Linked DNA regions of Oryzias latipes. The protein of the gene in region 2 purifies or fractionates together with the protein of the main gene of each other region. This does not show direct contact. Links are inferred from orthologs where the notes say so. Each region holds a gene or a part of one and is shown on either strand. Other genes may lie near its edges.

Region 1 (4,232 bases), on a different chromosome or scaffold from region 2:
GGAATAAGCAACGTCTACATGCGTCTTGTGGTATTAATTAGACGTTGTGTGGTGAAGATTTTTGGGATTGTTCAGAAAAGTGTTCCTACTGTTTATTGATGTGTTAAATTAGAGCAGTCTGGACCGAATGTTTTGGTTTTTTCTCTATTGTTTGAGTTAAAAAAAACAATCCTGGTGACATAAAAGCAAAGGTTTGAAGTCTGTTATCATAAAAGATTTCAGAAAGCCATTTTTTATTCACCTCAAACTGAGGCTTTTTGGCAGCAATTATCTGAGAACAAAATTAGATAATTTTTATTAACTAATTACAGACAAAATAAATTACCGGTACTCAAAAAAACAAATGACACGACCTTTTACTTTAAGTGAATGCGCATCGCTTGCAGTGACATCCAAGCGGAGGAATAAAGTCAAAGGTTGCTACAAGTTAGACCTCGGTTTCTCAATACCAGGATACAGGAACTACCATCAAACTATTGCAGAAACGAGTGATGACTCACTCATCTGTCAAGGGAGGTGTAGCAGGCTTTTGAACTGCCACAAAGCCAGATCTTTCAGGGAAAGTCTCTTCTTTGACATGCTTTTATCAGAGATAATTCCCAGAGTGAGTAAAAATATGACTTGACATTTCTTTGTCAAATGCAAAGCCATCTTTTAAAAAAAAAAATACTTTCTCCATCTAAGTACAGGCTGTTTTACAAACTTGATAGACCGGGGGAAAAACAATAAACCAAGGTTTCGGCGGTGGTTCTGATACTAACAGTTCTGTGACTTCTTGCTCCTCCTCCCACGCCTCCTTGTGCGTGAGCTGCAGGCTTCCTGTGCTCTTGCATGTCCAGATGCGCTCGCCATACTTCTGCAATCGGGCTTCGTACTCTCTGTGCACACTTGGTCAAGGCAATTAGGATTTACAGTTCCACTTTTAGAGCAAAACAAACATGAAGAGTGAAATAAACATACAAAATTAATTAATTAACCAGTTAAACAGGAAAAAATTAATAGGCAAAAGCATAAAACAATGAATCTTTGCTGACAGAATTCACCCTAAACGTCAGTTTATCTTTTTATTTTATCTAAAGTTAGATTTTAGGATGAATAGATGCTTCAACGAGTTTCAGAATAATGCATAAGAACCCAGCATAATCCCATTATATCATTGGATTAAGGTGACATTTAAAAAAAAAACTGTTCTATCTATGGGACCACATTTTGTCAGGTGTAGTTAAAGGAGCCGCTCAAAAGTCCCCTTCACGGTGTTATCAGGAGAAGACCAGTGAGGTTCGCTGAACACCTTAGTTGTTAACATCAAACACTTTCGAGATTTTCCCCCAAACGAAAGCGAAATATAATGAGCTTTAAGACATTTCGACAATAAAAATCTGCCTCCGTTCACTCAGAGCGTCCGATTAACCTTGCTAGCTTTAGCGGACCAAATAATACACAGTCTAATCATGACCCAACAGGCAAAACAAGCAGTTACACAACAACTGCACTTGGCCTACTTGATTCAAAATAAACCTAAAAATATATATATTTTTTTAAAATACTTACAACTAATGCGTACTAGGCTAAGCAGGAGCTTAAGATGTTTGTGCTCACAGCAACGGCTAGCAGCGGTGACATAATGGGACACCTACCGTTAGCATGCCAGCCGCGTTAGCATCGATGACAGAAAGCTATCCAATTTAAAAGCAAAACCATGATTTTCACAAATGTTTATAGATTAGTCTATGTGTGTGTGAATAAAACTATTAAATGCGACAAGTAGCATCCTATTAACTATAATTTTTGGTTTAAATAAACTGTTAACTACTAGCTAAAACGTGACTTTTAGCACCACTGTTAGCTCGTCCCCCAGTGTTAACTCTACATGCGGTGAAACATTTAGGGGGGAAAAAGTCAGCGTGAGTCAAAATCTTTAACTACATAAACGTCTCTTAGAGCACGAATTTGTCACTTTTAGGACAGACGATTTATTAAAACTATTACTTTGAAATAACCCCTGGCTCGCTAAGGCTGTCCCAAAACAGCATCACGGTGAAGCAGGATACTCTTTGTTCCTGAAGGCCTCCTTGGTGTGCTCGATGATGTAGACCTCGTCTCCCGGGCCTGGAGCCTCGGCTAAAGGCTTAGCCAGTGGGTACGGTTTCCGGCCCAAAAGCGGTGCCATAGGAAATCCAGAGGTGGCAGGGTTGCCGGAGGTGTAACTGTATTTCCCAGCAACAATTTACGAATGTCGGGTTCGCCGATGTGTCCTTATCATGTATCCGAGAGCGCGTAGGGTCTATTCCGAGCGATGAAGCCTTTCACGTTACCGCCGGCAGGCCCGGCTCTCACTGTGCAGCAGCTAGCCGATCAGCTAACAGGCTGGACTGCTATCTCGTTACAAAACAATAACAGTGCACTTCTCAGCTCCGGCCTCATCGCACCATTATAGGACTTCCCTCACCACGACGGGTTGCTGGTTCAAATTCAATGTCTTAATATGTAATAAACCCGGAGTTACCCCTCTTGACAGTTTATAAACTTTCAGCTCCACGAATCGAAAACAAACTCGCGGCAACAGTCGAGGTAGCTGTACGACGGTAAAGTGTTATGAAATAGAAGCTTCTCGGTTCTTTAAAAGTGACCTTGTTGCTTAACGATCAGACTTTCCAAACATACGAGTTCCGAATCAGCAAGTGTTACGCGAAAGTAACCTGAATCAAACAAGAGGTTAATTCCTTGTCGAAATGGCGGGAGTTTCTAGTCCACCGGCACAGTTGTGTAAAACCTCAGCACCCCGTTTCCCCGGCAGCAAGCGGCGCCTCAGTTATTCCCCGCCCACTCTCGACTCCTATTGGTCCTCCCAGTGTAGCGGCCTTGTTGAATTACTTTAGCGGTCTGCGATTGGTCGAAACAACCTGTCTATTATAAGAGTCGGGAAGCCACTTAAAAATAAACCGTTTTTTTTCCCAAGGAGCAATAATAAATTGTTATTCTTTTTATTATTATTTTTTATCGAAGGCACTTTGCTTTTAGGAGAAACAAAATTAATTTAGTTTGAAACAAATCAAGAAATAAAAAAACAACTTTTTTTCCCCCCAAGTTTTACACAAAATGGTTTTTACAGTGAACTGAAAAGAACGTATCCACTGCAGCCTAGGGTGTGCCTCTTTTTTATAGCCTTGTTAAAAAAATAAAAAATAAAATAAAATCTGGGTTGTGATCACATACAGTTAGATAATTTGGCTCACCAAGCGTTGTTGTCTTTGGCAGCCCCTGACGGTGAGACAGGATTGTACAGCAAAAACACCAAATTTCACCAAGGATTTCAAGAATTTCATTACACTGACTGGATAATAGACTGGATAAACCCCTTAGTAACTTCTCAGTAAGATGTGAAGACTTGTTGTGACGCAGTAAATCTTGAATATTTTATTGCGTTCTAAAAGAGTTTTTACACAGTATTTTTAAGGTTTAATTTACTTTACACTATACTTTAAGCTTCTTTTTTTTTACTTTATTTTGGTCTATTTTTACCTTTATATAGTTAATTATCTTACTTTTTTTTCAAACCTAACATGTTTTTGTTACTTTATTTCGTTTTTTCTACTTTACATAGTATTTTTTTACACTTTTAACACATGGCATTTTTAATTGTGAACAGTGAGGGGTCTTGTTACGAGAAACAGACTTGCTTGATTTAAGAAAACTGAAACTATCTATTTGACTGTTTTAACAAATATACATTTAATCTTTAAGACAAACTTGTTTTAAAATGTTTAATTCCAGTCTTTCTCTAAGAGGAATATATGGTCTAAAAAGAATTGGACTGTTTATTAGAACAATGGGGGTAGGACGGTTGTGTCAATGAACCATTTTATTTTTGCAAGCAAAACATACATTTTTAGATATATTTCCAATAACCAGATTAATTTACCTAAATATTAGTGCTTATATTTTCAAGACCTGTTTTTTTCTTAAAAGGGCAGAACATTACAACTTCTCTTAAGAAAGTTTCATTTGTTCCATCACCCAATTGGTTTCACTCATATCAAGAATTAAAAACATTTTGTATTCAATATTTTTTAACTTGTTTTTGAGAAGATTATTTCTTTCAGTGAGTATTAATGTGTAAATCACTTTAGTTAGTTTCTCTGAAGTTATAATTTCTCTCATCATCCTTCAAAAAGGAAACAATTCAGGAACTGCAGAAAAAAACCTAAATAAAAACCTAACATGGGACTGTT
Region 2 (3,968 bases):
GAGACATGTGCTCCAGATATTTAGTCTGGCATCGTCTGATTTCAGGAATAAAACAAGTACAGGATTAACACTGACTGTCTTTTTTTTTTTAGGTTTATTGTCTGTACCGACCTGTTTCCTTGAGGCCCTTTTAGCTCTTTTTTCCTCTTTTTGATCTTGCTCTTTGTTGTCTTCCTGCACTCCAGAAGTAGAAGGTTGCTCTTCGTCACTCCTCTTCTCACTGTTAGGGGGAACGGAGGTAGACTGAACAGAAGCTGATGTTGAGGTAGAGGGCGCCGCCTTGGAGAGGGTCAGTCTCCTTTTATCCCTGTGCTGTTTGAGCACCGTGCACAGTTCATTGATGAAGACAAAGGTTTTGGAGCGGTTGTTCTGAGCGCGAGTTAGACATCCTTTCAGAGTGTTCCTGAACTCCACAGAGGACAGAAACTCTGGACACGTCTTGGAGTGTTTCAGCTGCAGGTATTCCAGGACCTCCGGGCACTCCTTGGTCTGAGCGGAGCAATGCTCCACAAACTACAGGAAAGACACGAGAGAATCAAACACTGAAGATGAATCATGCAGATCATTACACCTTTCATATTACACCTTTATAAGACTTTTACAAAACAGAAAAAGATTCAATTGTGACTCACAGAGAAAGTCAAACAGATGAACTGTAAAAGCTTTCAACAATTTAACATCTTAAATGTTTCTAACAATCTATTCCGAAGCACATAAAAACATATTTTATCACAAAATATTAAGGAAAAAAACAGTAGATATCAGCAATATTAGCACAAACAAAAACCTGCTGGGTGTTAAAATATTCTTTATTTTAGAAGTTGAAGAAGACCACAGAAGAGAGGGTGGGCTCAGTAAAAACCTGAAGCAGCTCACCTCAGAGAACAGTTTCTGATTCTCAGCTAGAAGACCCTGAGCTTCCTTCTTCCCTGAGACTTGGTGACTTGGGGACATGGCGGCGTGCACGGCCACCAAGTGCTGACCTTTGGGCGGTAAGGCGTTTCTGGAGCCATGATCAGAGGAGGGAGTAGTAGCGGAAAAAGAGGGCTGGGGGCTGTCCTCGTTGTCTTCATCCAGAACTATGATCTCATCTCCCATTGAGGCAGGAGCCACCGCCATCTAAACCCTGACGGATTCTGCTGTGAATCTGCAAACAGGAAAAACACGCTGGTCGTGACAAAAGGTACAGAAGCAAGACGTGGAAGGATTATTGATTTCAAAAATCTATTCATATATTAGTAAATATTGGGGGGTCAGTGGTGAAAAACATTTTTCACAACTTATTTCCTACTGTTTAGTCCTTGTTACAAAAACCAGCAACTAATAATTTATCAGGGGTCCAAAAAAATCAATTTATATAAAAAAATCTATTACTAATTGGCTTATTTTATTTTAAATGTTTATAAACAAACCCATAGAGCCTGAATGGAAGCACAGTTGTCTGTCCAATGAAAACCACAGATATGAACACATGATTATGTTGGTAAAAAGGTATAAAATTCATCAGGAATAAAAAAACGTTGTTTCTGGTAAACGTTGTCAGTTTCTCTTCGTGGTGTGGACTCTACTGTTTTTGCCCTTTTCACGAGTGACCAAAACACAAGACGTCCAATCACAAGCCTGCTTCTATCAATGAAAACTAACTGAACCACAATAAATAAGTGGGATGTTGTGTGCACAAAACTAGCCCTCCTTTTTCCCAGCACCTCTAACAATGTATGAATAAATGAATATGAGATGTTTTAACCATAAAGAACAGAACAGTCTAGAAGGCCCTAAATGCAGGTTTGAATCGTGGAAGCTGTTGAATTTATAGTTCTAAATGTCAAATGAATAATAAAAATCTAGATTTTATTCATTAAAGGATTGGACTGTATTGCCACAAAGCTAGTTATATATTTTACAGATGAAAATCTCAACGCATGGGTCATGATGTACTGAGATGCTGAGAGAGAAAGATACACAACACGGTATCTGGTGAGAATGTGGACAAAAACGTCTCACAGTGAAACAGGATTATTAAAGATCCAAAAAGATAAAAACACTGCAATAATAATCGTCCACACGGCTGCAATGCTGACCTGAAAATACCGAGATGCAGACAAAGAAATGGCACTTTTCTGTTGCCTGATCGACACAAATTAGACTTATTTTTAAGACGAAAATGCTCGGAATGCAAAAATGAAATGGCTCGACGACAAATAGCACTGATGTCTATTTTGCTTTTGATTATTCAACATTAAAAAAAATCTGTCTAGTAGCCTTATCTGATTTACATCAACTTTAATTACCAAAATTTTTTCCTGTTTACTTTTACATCCTGAGTCTGTCTCTCTCGTAGTTTTCTGGTCAACGAAAAAAAATGAAGGCGAATATTCAACAGAACTTAATCTAAAGTGAAAACAAAAGGAAATTTTGTAAAAACTGATCACAAAACATGGCAGATACGGTGCTTATAATTCTGAGAAAACACGACTGGGTGCATATTATTAAAACACTCACCTTTTATTCAGGAACAATAGAAACGTAAATGTTGCTCTTCAGGAACGCACAGCAGTTTTTAAGCTAAGATTAGCAACAGAGCAGCTACTGTAACTTTTCTTGTAAATCCAAACGGAATATAGGAAAAACGGCATGATTTCCTGGTTATTTAACTAACAGATTAAAGTTATTAATACTTCATGGATGCGTTTTTTAGGATAGCAAAGTCTTTTGGCTAATTTAGATCTCGTAAATTTAGCTCCACGAACTGCTAGAAACCGAAAATGTGCCCGCGACACTCAGACCAATGCCAAGGCCTCTCATTGGTGGAAAGAATAAAGATCCAGTAAAAATGTCTGCTATTGGCCAGAGTGGAAGACAACAACACTACGTCTTCTTCTACGGATCTTCCGTTACGATTTGTGAGTACACTCTCCAACAAAACAGACATTTAGTGGAAAAAACAGTGAACTGCAGAGTGTCTGAGCGCTCTAGATCAGTGTTTTTCAACCTTTTTAGAGCCAAAGCACGCTTTATCCTTGACAAAAATCCCGCGGCACATCAGCATCCAACTCATAGTCTGCATGATGTACAGTCCCTCCGCAATCTCACATGCATTTTTGTGATGATTGTGGCAGAAAAAGCTGGAAGTTGCAGCTGTTTTTTCTAAAAGATGTAATAAAAGTATGTCTATTATTTAGCTGCCTACGTAAGCTGCAGTTGTTTTAGCTTTAAATTTCCTCTATTCTAGATTATTTTCTTGCATTCAGACTCCTCATTTGTAGGGCATAATAAAGTGATTTTTAAACCTGGTTAATACCATTACATGTCACACATTTGTTCTCTGCATTTGACTGTGAGCAGCAGACACAACCGTACACAGGAACTGGATTGGATTCACCCCCTTAATGCTGAGTGTCAATTTTTAGAGTCTGTGGTATGACTCGGCCTAGATTTGAATTTACGACGTTCCAGTCATAGGGCAGACACTCTACCACAAGGCCACTGAGCTGGTTAAAACATGGTTAATCATGATGCATATTATGTCCAAATGTAAGAAGAGTTAACTTGGAGAACCACGCCATCAAGTATAATAAACGTTTAGAAATGGACAGATAAAGCACAATTAAAATGACTTCTTACAACCTTTTATTTTTGGAATTTTTACAACAATTTTGTCAACATTTCAGCAGAACTTTGACAAACACACAAAAAAAGACAGACATTCATTAATTGTAATACAATGTACAAATATTCTGGGCTTCCTATTTACAAACGTGCTTTACTTTATTAATTAGGACAGTTGTTTTGCATCTTCAGTGAAACATATTTCTCAAAAAACAAAACAAAACACAGCCTCCAGTCACAGTTTAGAAATCCCCAAAGTGAAACTTGAAGCGTTCTTTCGGTTTTTATGATGTCATGCTTTCAAGATAAGAACATTAAAAGAAAGGGGTGGTCAAATAATTTTCTGTAAAAATGGTACG
Region 3 (4,141 bases), on a different chromosome or scaffold from region 2:
CAGTAAAATCAGAAATTTTCAATTTAAATCAGAATACGTTAAGGTTTCTCAGGAGTCCTCATCAATGATTCAGAGTAACCGGTAGAAACCTAAACATATAAATTCCCACTCCAATTATCTTTTGATCCATTTTCAAAGAGTTCCCAGTGGTCTTTTAATCATGATTATCCCTTTCAGATCATCCCTTTGTTTACGTTCTCTTCCGCTAGCTTACAGCCCCTCACAACCCCAACCTAACAATACCAGTGCATTAAAAATGGTGATCAATTTGATCAAAGTTTGAGACAGGTGCCAAATCATGGATCTAGTAGTCTACATGTTGACTCATCAAAATCGAGCAGGAAGCTTGTAGCTTGCCGTAGCAGCTTCTACGTCACAGCTACCAACTTTTTCCAACAGCCTTTTTTTTTCTCAGAAATGTAATTTTAAGCTCAATTTTCATAATAAATGTCCTCCATACTGACATTAAACACCAAAGGAACCTGTTCAGAACACCAAAAACACGATTTTCATTGGAGTGGGTCTTTGAAGTCAATAACCTCTTTGTTTACCGAAGCGTGTTTAGAGGGCAGAATACTCATGATAATCGTGGGCATTTGTTTGAAAACCCACTGAAATATGGATGTCAACATGAACCGGAACAGAAAGTTCTGTGGCTGAAAACAAATGGTCAGATTGGAAAAGACCTACAGCTAAAACAGTTCACCTAATTAAACGTGATTGGCGCTTTGCGGGAAGGTCAAAGGTCACAGAGAGTGGAAAAACAACTGCTGGATGCCAAACATGTCCAGGGAGCACCTGAGGCGGTTCACTCCTCCACCCAAAGGACTCTGGGTGCTGCCATCGCCTCCCTCGCCCCCCCCATAACCTGTAAAAACTGAGAGGCAGACTTCAGTCCACTTCCCACTTCGGCCTTTTTCCTGCTTCCCTCCCCTTCTTGTAGATGGCGCTGGAGAGGAGTGACATTATGTAAGCCTCCCTTCACTCCGCCTGCCCCCCCCCCCCCCCCACCTCATAACACCAATGGAGAACGGCGCCTCCTATTGAGGAAGCAGCAGCCCCCTACAAAAAGGTCTCTGCAGTGGAGGGGGAGGGGATGAGAGAAGAGGAGAGGAGGGAGTGATGTTGGAAGGGAGGAAGAGGAGGAGTGAGAAGCAGGGAATGGAGGAGGGGGGGTTAGAGGGGTGAGAGAAGGAGAGGGGGGGTGAGCAGCTAGTGTGAAGGAAGTGTGAGGGAGAGATGGAAGGGGGGAGTGAGCAGAGGAAGTGAGGCTGGTTTGGGTAAGGAAAAACAGGGGAGAGGGGGTGGGGGAAGAGGGTGAGAGCAAGAGGGGGCAAAGGATGAGGAGAAGGGAGAGGGAAAAAAGGATAGGGAGGAGAGAAGGAAGGAGGGAGGGAGCAAATGCTAGAGGAGGCCACTCTGCTGGCAGAAAACGGGTTCTCCTCCAACATGAAGAGGCCTTTGTATCTCCTGCAGCAGCAGGACACAGCCATGTTCTCTCTGGGAGCACATGCTGGAGCACCATCCAGGTGTGCACGCAGCTTCTGGGGTGGGGTGGGGGTCTCCATCCACTGCAACAGCTGCAAAAGTTTCTCATTCCTTGATTCTGAGGAGGCTGGATGCCAATCTTCAATTATGATGGACGGACTTTCACCTCAAACTCAGTCCGGAAATATTAATATTCTACAGAATGCTAAATATAAGGAGGGTGTTGACTCTTGCAGTTGCTCATAACTCCACAAAGGTTTCATTAATTGAATGCTACTGCATCCTGAAGCCTCTGCATGTTGGACTTTCTTCAAACTTATGAACTACGTCCCGCAGAAAAAAATGACAGCAGCCCTCCTTCCCCCTGGATTGGGGGAAGGCTGAGCTGTCACCACCTCTGAGGAGCCGTTTAGGAGCCCATACCAATAAACCTGAAGAGATCCTTGAGTTCCACTCAGAGTGCGCGGCATCAGCCCCGTAACACATCTGTGGGATGTCCAACATCTGGCAGGATCCAGAACGACAAAGAGTAGGGCGCACGCGCGCTCTGTTAGCCCGCTAAGCTAACAAACAAGCACCAACGGGCTGGACTCGGAATAGGCTTACTGTCGCCTCAGAATCAACCACAAACTCTTATTTTACTTCCTTATAAAGAAGTTGAAAGATATTGGAGTTTACAGAGACCCGCCCTGTTCATATAAACACCCGCCTCGTATACGAGTTACCTTAGCAGCCACCCAGCAGGTAGCCACGGTTAACGGCGAACACCCGGGGTTCACCCCCGCGGGAGGACCTCCAAGTTTACCTGCTTTCGCGTCCGCAGCGCCCGGCTGACCGAACTACGCCCGACCACCGCGATGTGGGGACACTTGCTCCGCTCTCGCCCGCTCAGGTGCTTCGTTCGTGAGGTGAATAGCAAGCCCCCGCTGCCGCTCTACCCCCCAAACCCGACTGTCCCTCTCCAACGAGGGCTGTTTTCTTCCCTGTGGTCGGCAAACAGGAACGGTGGGCGCGCGAGCTTCATCAGATAATTCCGAGGCTCGTTTCCCCGGAGCGCTGCGGGCGCAACGACCGGGTTCGCCCGCTCCTGTGAATAAATGCTCTAAACTCTGCCTATAATTTCCTGGAAGCGGAATCCACTTTGCCCATTCTCTCCTGACAGACAATACACATCCAGCCTGGAAACTGCCCTATCCAAAATGGCGCAAATAAAGGGGCGGAAGTGACGTCGGCATCATTAGCATAAACCATCTTATTGTGAGATCCCGGGTCGTGCCGTCTAATGAAAGCCCCTGATTGGTTTGTCATCAATCAGCGGCCAATTAAGCCGTTATTTATTACATTTTCCTTAACAATTACATACTTTTGAGGCCTAAAAGCTTTATAGGCTTTGAGAGAGGCCATGTGGAGGATAAACAACCCTAAAAAGCAGTTACACAAGCTAACCGACAGCGGGCGTCCTACTAGCTTGGTTAAGTCGGCGCATGCGTGCTGTGCTTACATCTGGTGTACCCTCTTTCCTCCACTCTCTTGAGTACAGCACTTAAGTTCCCAGCCGGAACACTAGGTGGCGCTAAGAAATGCAGCAGAGATAAAGGCTCACTCCCATACAGACTGTGAAAACAGTCTTTTTTTTTTTTTTTTACAATCTATGGTTGCTCCTAATAAAAAGGGTGTTAAAAAATACATCCAAATATATTCCCAGAACATCTTTATTTTGACCAGACAGATTGAGCAATTGTTTTTTCCTTTTACATTGCTGCTAATCACACCTGAACTCAAACTGTTAAACACCTATTTTACAATAAAGTGTCCTTGATATTTGTGTTGTCTATACAGTCCTGCTTCAGATTTAATGAACTAAACTAAAAAATATATAATAATAATAATAAGTGAACAAAGGAGCCAGCAAGACTTGATCATTTTTAACAAACAAAAACATTTTTAAACTGTAACCAGCCTAACGCCTTCATTCTGTGAATTGTCTGATTTAGGAATGATTAAACCGTTTTTTTTGCAAAAAGTGATGGGAATGTGAAACAACATGGGAGAATCTCTGTGCGTGAAAAGGCTTCCAACCGGGACACGTCTTTTTTTCGCATCAGCTGCCGTGCCACTTTTTGATAATCCAGGTACATTTCTGCGCACAGACCTGAAGACCGAGAGACCACTACAAAAGCTCAAGATGATCATGTTGTGGCGAAAAGCATGAGCAGTCCTTTTGCAAAAGACACGATCTCGTTGCCTCCCAGTTTGGATTCCCCGTAGACGCGGTCCACAAAGGAGATGGGAACCTGGCAAAGACAAGAACTTTAATGTCTCTGAAACATTTAGGACATAAGGGTTTGTTGAGCTTCCATTAAATAAACTAATGAAGTAAAGGATGAAGAGTTCGGATCGTAATAAATCACATAAATCACATATATCACCTATATGTGCCCATATAAAATATACAGTCTAATTATTTTAGAAAAGATTAGCATAAATTGAATTAAAATACTCTTAAAAAACATTTTTTTTCGTTGTTTTTTAATGCATCTTTTGTGTGAAACAACTAGGTGTTTTATGAAATAAACTGATCAAATAAACATATTGTTCAATTTAATTTTGAGATTTATGAAATTAAACGGATTAAGGTTATAAAAATATAAAC

Evidence for each region. Proteins that work in one complex are often made in the same cells at the same time.
Region 1: the proteins of death domain-associated protein 6 (region 2) and baz1b purify together in Homo sapiens (co-immunoprecipitation; 3 studies listed by BioGRID and IntAct, with this or other methods). This does not show direct contact. The link is inferred for Oryzias latipes from reciprocal best matches to the Homo sapiens genes DAXX and BAZ1B.
Region 3: the proteins of death domain-associated protein 6 (region 2) and activity-dependent neuroprotector homeobox protein purify together in Homo sapiens (affinity purification with mass spectrometry; 4 studies listed by BioGRID and IntAct, with this or other methods). This does not show direct contact. The link is inferred for Oryzias latipes from reciprocal best matches to the Homo sapiens genes DAXX and ADNP.

The regions. Positions count from the first base shown.
Region 1 is NC_019871.2:22,455,163-22,459,394, reverse strand, and holds the start of baz1b (tyrosine-protein kinase BAZ1B), read right to left. Parts: upstream 2,813-4,232; 5' UTR 2,171-2,812; coding exon 2,052-2,170; intron 879-2,051; coding exon 762-878; intron 1-761. UniProt on the Homo sapiens protein: Atypical tyrosine-protein kinase that plays a central role in chromatin remodeling and acts as a transcription regulator. Involved in DNA damage response by phosphorylating 'Tyr-142' of histone H2AX (H2AXY142ph).
Region 2 is NC_019869.2:16,001,376-16,005,343, reverse strand, and holds the start of death domain-associated protein 6, read right to left. Parts: upstream 2,805-3,968; 5' UTR 2,503-2,804; intron 1,148-2,502; 5' UTR 1,120-1,147; coding exon 877-1,119; intron 514-876; coding exon 112-513; intron 1-111. UniProt on the Homo sapiens protein: Transcription corepressor known to repress transcriptional potential of several sumoylated transcription factors. Down-regulates basal and activated transcription.
Region 3 is NC_019865.2:4,532,911-4,537,051, forward strand, and holds the start of activity-dependent neuroprotector homeobox protein, read right to left. Parts: upstream 2,813-4,141; 5' UTR 2,294-2,812; intron 1-2,293. Other genes in the region: dpm1 (dolichol-phosphate mannosyltransferase subunit 1), read right to left, coding at 3,678-3,782.